Linked DNA regions of Xenopus tropicalis. The protein of the gene in region 1 purifies or fractionates together with the protein of each later gene. This does not show direct contact. Links are inferred from orthologs where the notes say so. Each region holds a gene or a part of one and is shown in the gene's direction. Other genes may lie near its edges.

Region 1 (3,569 bases):
ATGTACTGAGCATTCCCTTAATTCCATTTGATTTTTTTTTTCTTTAATTAAGTAAATGGAGAAATGCTGTTATGATCGCACAAACTGTATATTTTCAACTTTCAAAGTACCATCTGCACCTCAGTTTTCTGCAGTAAAACACCATGGGTTGAATGGGTGTTAGTTTCTCCACCTCAACTTGCTACTGCAACTAAGTCTGTAGTGTCTGACTCCCGTGACTTTGTCTGATACCATCTCTTTCCCTTTCCCATAAAACAGTCAAATAATTCAGAATACTAGTGGAGTGTCAACCTGAAAATGAATATGAAAGTAAAAAAATAATCCCTATTTTCTTCACTTTAGTCTTCAAACCCTGACGAGAGGCGGGGGAATCGGCCAAGATCTATGGTCCGTTCATTTACCATGCCGTCGTCATCGAGACCTTTGTCTGTTGCCTCCGTGTCTTCAGTGTCTTCAGACAGTACCCCATCAAGACCTGGCTCAGATGGGTAAGTTGTTTTACATCCATTTGTATTTATGAGAACATTTGTAAACCTGCAGTTTGTGACAAACTGGTGGTAACATTTGGTGAAGTCTATATGGAGAAATATTGCATACAATTCTGTGTATGCATTGCTGTCCCGTTGTGTGCATTTAGGAGCTTTGGCAAGGTGGCAAGCTTTGCACCATAAAACAGCAATAAATCACAGTAAGTATGTTTTCTGGCATTGTGTCCCCCCCTCTTTCCCTGCAAAAGTTTGTGCCCTACACATTTGTGCCCCTTTCAAAATAATAAATTTCATTTTTGGAATCTTTTCCCCTCCTCGCAGAAATAAACTTTTAATTTCCACTTTGAGTAGAAAAGCAAATTGCAATGCATCTGTGTGCTTTTAAGGCTTATTGGTTACTCACAATACTTCAGCAGCTCACAAATTACAGCCCACGTCTTCAGCATGTCACTGTTGCCTTTCTCCTGATCTCCAGGCCGGTTTGTGTCTGCCTTTATTAAGTTACTCGATACACTCACGGAAAGCGTTCCTAAAAAAATTGCATTTCAGCTGCTCTCAAAAGAAAAAGGAGCCTAAAGACTGCAAGGGAACACAAACGTTGCCATTTCTAAAACAATATGTGCCCTGGGGACACCTCTGGGTGCTTTAAGAAGCTCAAAATATTTAGCCCAGCTGCTTGTCACAGTTCTGCGGGCAAAATGCATATGAAGCCTGTTCTGATCCAGCCATGATAAAGTTGTTGATTAAGGTTAAAAAGCGGATGTTGTATCACATTTACACTGTTTAGTCTGGCTGCTGCTATTTGCATGTTTGGCATGTCTCCCGGTGCGAGTCAGTTTGGATGAAATCAGCAGACAGGGTTTTACGGATCAACAGTGGCACAGAACCAACTGGCAGTGGCACGGCTGCGGATTTGTGTTTGCCTCTGCTACACTGAGCCCTTGGATACAGGATAGAAACCAAAAAACCTTGTTCATTTAAAGATGAAGCCATTCTCCTAATGTGATAGGATGGTTGGTCATGTACATAGACATTCTTTAGCTTAACGAAGTTCAATTGATGGGCAACAATTAAACATAATATGTCAGTTGTGTCATTGTAGGAACTCAGTGTTTGTGTTCAGAGCACAGTTCATGCATTGGGTTAACTGTAAAGATTACATGTGTGTGTATGGAATAGAGCCCTGTTTAAATATGCAGCAAATAATGTACTCTTTGTTGTAAATTATAAGGATATTAGTCACCAGAAACTTCTGTAAACTTTAGGGCTTTATTAGATGGAACTTCAAGGTGACTTCTTCTATATCTCATATTTTACAAAAGGGTGTACATTATCTTTATAATATACAACTTTAAATGAATCATGTGACACAAGTGACATCACTAAACGTGATCATACCTGATGATATTACTAAGAACTGTCTATAGGCAAATGGCATGCATGATATTTGTGGCTCTTGTATATTATAGAGAAATTATATACCCTTGTTTTATAGGATAAGGATTTTATAGGTCACTGAGGAATGTCATGACTATATAAAGGCAGAAGGTGAAGGGCAAGTTCTTTTATACAGGGCGTTATAAATTATAAGGATATCAGATGTCACAAAAAAGTTCTGTGATTTCCTGTATTTTTAATTTATAGGTCACAACTCCAAGGTGACTTCTAATATTCAAACAGGGGTATTTATTATAATACACAATTTTCAGTGAGTCATGTGATTTAAGTATATCAATAATAACTGATGTCATCACTATGTACCGTTTATAAATATATAATATAAGGATATTAGTGGTGACTTAGCGCTCCAAGGTCAATTCTACCATTGTTACATTTTTAAGTAGGGGTTATAGTAAGTCATTAGTTAAAGCACCATTTATAAGTATATATTTTACAGGCAGAGATAAAAAGAACAAAATGGTAACAGATTCCCCCATCTGTTCCAGTAGCGCAGCAGCCAACCAGTTCAATCCGCAGACAGAATATTTCACGTGTCAGTACTGAATGGATGTGCACAGTTATATTACATTTCTTCCAGGTTTGTTCTGGAACCACTTTTGCCAAAGAAAATGCATTCTCGCTCCCAAGATAAATTGGACCGAGATGATCTTGATAAGGAGAAGAAGGAGAAAAAGAAGGAGAAAAGGAACAGCAAGCACCAAGAGATGTTTGATAAAGAATTTAAAGCTACTGAAATTCCACTGCAGCAGTCTGACGCCGTTATTCTGTCAGAAACGGTAATTCTATCTCGGGCCGTGTGGGTGTGCATAGACGCCGCTGAATGTTTCTGTATATCATTTCATTGGTGGGATGCTTTCCTGCAATGCAAATGAATGGAAATCTATGTGCGAGCACTGTTTCACTGTCTGTGCTTTCACCTCGGCCGTGAAGCGTCTCTAACCAAGGATTCGGCTTTCCAGTAAATTCTGATATTCTGATATTAACCTCAGTTAGTAAGGCTTGACCTCTGACAAGATGTATAGATTTTTTTTTCTCCATTATGCAGAGGGGGGATGTGTTAGCTGATCTCTCCTAGAAAGTGAGTTCGAGGGACATATGTATCAAAGGGTGAAAAAAGAGTTAACCCCAGGGGTCGCAGTTTTCAATTAACTCGTAAAGGATTTTTTATCAAGAGTAGACATAATTACACCTTTTAAAATTCCTATAGAATGCCCAGTACAGTGAATATGACTGAGAATATGGCTGAGAAGCATCCATAACTGACCATGCTGCTACTCGTAGATGTGTTTTTTGTCCCAGAAAGTGCAAAAAGTAGAGTTCATGTCAGGCTGTTTCTATTAAAGGAACAGTAACACCAAAAAATTAAAGTGTATAAAATTAATTACGATATTATGTACTGTTGCCCTGCACTGGTACAGCTGGTGTGTTTGCCTTAGAAAGACTACTATAGTTTATATAAACAAAGCTGCTGTGTAGCTATGGGGGCAGCCATTCAAAGGAGAAAAGGCACAGGCACATAGCAGATAACAGATAAAACACTATTGTATTCTACAGAGCTTATCTGTTATCTGCTATGTAACCTGTGCCTTTTCTCCTTTTTTCCAGCTTGAATGGCTGCCC
Region 2 (3,569 bases), on another chromosome or scaffold:
AATCTAAATTGTTAGTAGAAATGCTACAATATAGAAAATAGCAGAACGGGAAGCTATACTGGTATGGTAACTTATATACATAATGCTTGGACCTGGGGTTTTCTGGATAAGGAATCTTTTAAACATTAATTTGCCTCCAATAAGAATTAATTATTTCTTAGATGGGATAAAGTACAAAGCGCTGTTTTATTATTACAGACCAAAATCATTTTTAAAAACTAGATTTTTTTTCTTCAAAATTTTTATCAAAATAGATAAATAGTTGTCCTTTTAAAGAAAATTATATAGTTGCAGAATTCAGTCATTTAAATATCCTCCAAAAAAATCTCTATGTATGCAATTTCCTACAGTGATTCTACAAATAGTGTGTAATAACTAATGGTCTTTGAGGAAAAAAATGTGTTATATACAGTCAGTGGCATAACAATCAAGGGTGCGGACCCTGCTGCTTGCTTCCTCCATTGCTGCATATAAATCTCCACTTCCCACCAACTCTCCGTTATGCCATTGTATACAGTAAATATTTCCAATCCTTATCTTATCTGTCTGTCCTTAATTCTGTCCTTAAATCTTAGCGTTACATAGCGAACAATATTGACATCCTTGATTTTCCTCTGAGTGTAAGTTTTTCATGTTAGTGTTTGTTTAGCTGATTTGTAGTGCCCACTCTGTACACGTGCTGTAGTGTATCTTGGTTTTTGTGTTATGATTGCAATTTGCATGATACAGCAATTCTCAATGCAAGAATTTCTCAAACGGTACACTTTTTTGGAATAACGTCATAGGGAATTGTCAATACTTGTTAAAGAGGACTGGTGTTGAGAACCACAGTGCACTGTGCATAATATTTTATTATGACTTTCTATTTAGTCCCTCACCTATTCATATTCCAGTCCCTCATTCAAACCACTTCCTTATAGGCTCTTATTTATCCTAGCAACTAGATAGCGATTGACATATCAAACTCATGAGCTACTGAACAAAAAACTGAAAAACCACAACAAAATAAAAAATGTAAACCATTTCAAAATTGTCAAAATTAGTAACTGCATCATACTGTAAGTTAATTTTAAAGGTGAACTACTCCTTTAATTGCATTTACTTTATAGATAGAATAACCACCTGTTTGTATTCAGCAGCGTTGTACATAAAGGTACATAATAACTGACATATAAACAAACCAATACAGTAGGCAGTCCTATTCTGAAAAAAGAACAGGGAAGATTAAATAATCTACATAATTCTGATCATTTGAAAGAAAGAGGCTACTTCTGGCCAATGCCATTTAGGTGACATCTTTATTTATTTTCAAATATTAATTTCCAAAATTGTTTAGAAACATTGTGGAGTTAAAGTTACAGTGTAACAGTTGCAGTAAAATTGTAAGTGGCAAAATAGAGCATTTTGGCTTTCTTTTTTGTTGCTTTTTTTTTCTTAAGCAACAATTTAATGTGCATGAACTCCACTTTATATTAAAAGATGTAATTTATTTCTTGAATAATAATGTTTCCTTATTTTGTCTAATAGGAAATGGCTAACATATTAGCCCAAAAGCAGCTCAGGTCTATCATCCTAACGGTATGTATTAATATTGTATCTTTAGTTATATAAAAATTAAATGGTAAATAAATGGGACCTGTTTTTATTTTGTATACAAGACTTAAATGACCTTAAATGTCAAAAAGTAAAAAGTATTTTTAATTAAATTTTGTAGCTGTTGATCGAGCCTACAATTAACCTTTTTAGCAGCAAATCCCCTATTCCATTCTCTAGTCCTGTAGAAAGCCATAAATTACTTTTGACCCCTGTTTATTTTTCTTGCAAGAACTAAACCTATTGTATTCTACATAGTTCATCTCAGATGGTATGTAAACATGCACCTTTTTATCCATTTTCAAGTTTAATGGCTGTCCCCATGGCTACACAGCCGCTTAAAGGAAAAGTAACACTAACATTTTTTAAGTAAAAAATCTATTCTACCCTGCCCCAATAATTGCCCTATCCTGCCACCATTTATTGTTTTGAATGCTTTATTAGAAAATACCTGCTAAAACTTGGCTTCCGGTCATTTGAAATAAGGTGATACGGCAATGCAGGGCAAAATCCACTATGAGACGATCGATTGATCAATCCTAGCCTTCCTTCTGTATAGGAAGGAGTCAGGCTATGCTCTGTGTACGCACATTTGGGCTGTTGCCATAGCTTTTAGTGAAGGCACACAGAGTGGCGTACAGAAGCGAATCGGCTTCTCTCAGCCAGGCAGAAAAGCACAGGGCTGAGAGAAGCGGAGATACTCTTCGTCTGACCTTGTCCTTATTTTACCAGAAGTGGCTTTTTGCGTCCCCTGGTAACTTGTCTCAACTCACTTCCTGGCAGCAGCACCTCTATGTCCAGCCAATAGAGGCCAAAAAATGTAAAAGCTCAAATGACCAGGGCCAGGTTTTCTGATCTATCAGTTTTTTGTTTTATAAAAGAGTGTCTTTCTCTTGCAGCATGTTATCAGAGCACATGGTCCCATTAATAATGAGATGGCACATCAGCTGTACGTGTGGCAAGTACTGACTTTCAACTTGCTGGAAGACCGTATGATGACCAAGATGGATCCCCAAGATCAGGTGAGCCATATAGATTATATGCTTCTGTTAACACTACTAAACAAATAATCTTTGTGTAAAATTCCCCATAGTTTTTTAATATTTGTAAATAAATGTTACAGGGCAGATTTATCAAAATTCCAATTTATGTAATTTTAAAGCCTATTTTCTACAACGACTAAGCTCACTTTTTAAAATAGCACAACTGTCTACTCATTTATTTAAAAATCCAAATATTAAAATATAAAAACAGTAAAAAAGCATCCAAATTTTTGTGCGCTTACAAACAGAAAGAACCACTAAAACCACAAATTGGATAAGCATTGTTACAGTTTGCCTAGGACAGCTCCTATTGATTTATTTATGACTCAACAGCTTTTAGATGGCGTAATTTTGTATTAGTTTGTTTTGTTGTATTGACGCTTGAAAAATTATGAAACATTTGTTTTGAAGTAATTAGTACATGCACAATCTTTGGTACTAAAAAGTACGATTTGGGAAAAGAAAAAATACAAAGAAAGCAAAAATGCACTTTTGAAGGTGCAAGGTGATGTTGAATTGTTGACAGTGCAATTGGTTTATTTACTGGTACTATTTGTGGAGCAATCAAATGTGATCAATCCATAATAGTAAAAGGTGTATATTACCTTAATAATAAGTTTGTTTTGAATAAGAACAATTAGGGGCAGATTTATCAAAATGTGAGTTGATAGCTTAATTAATAAAACCTTACCCATTTTCTATTTATTCCTGTGGGATTTTTAGAAGCCTGGCAATGTTTCAGGCCTATACAGGGCCCTTTGCCAACTGATGTTAAATGTTTATTAAATTAATCAAACTGCACAGTCCCTTGTATCACAGTTCATCAAAGTTGGAATGTCTAGCTGGATTCACAAATCAAATATAAACCTGCACTTATGTAGAAATGCATGTAGGGAAATCACTCGGGAGGAAATTCAAAAGAGACTTGAACAT

The links.
Region 2: the proteins of dock1 (region 1) and elmo1 purify together in Homo sapiens (affinity purification with western blotting; 12 studies listed by BioGRID and IntAct, counting the BioPlex papers as one, with this or other methods). This does not show direct contact. The link is inferred for Xenopus tropicalis from reciprocal best matches to the Homo sapiens genes DOCK1 and ELMO1.

The regions. Positions count from the first base shown.
Region 1 is NC_030683.2:24,117,991-24,121,559, reverse strand, and holds part of dock1 (dedicator of cytokinesis protein 1), read left to right. Parts: intron 1-342; coding exon 343-488; intron 489-2,526; coding exon 2,527-2,725; intron 2,726-3,569. UniProt on the Homo sapiens protein: Involved in cytoskeletal rearrangements required for phagocytosis of apoptotic cells and cell motility. Along with DOCK1, mediates CRK/CRKL regulation of epithelial and endothelial cell spreading and migration on type IV collagen.
Region 2 is NC_030682.2:63,753,076-63,756,644, forward strand, and holds part of elmo1 (engulfment and cell motility protein 1), read left to right. Parts: intron 1-575; coding exon 576-620; intron 621-1,527; coding exon 1,528-1,578; intron 1,579-2,492; coding exon 2,493-2,615; intron 2,616-3,569. UniProt on the Homo sapiens protein: Involved in cytoskeletal rearrangements required for phagocytosis of apoptotic cells and cell motility. Acts in association with DOCK1 and CRK. Was initially proposed to be required in complex with DOCK1 to activate Rac Rho small GTPases.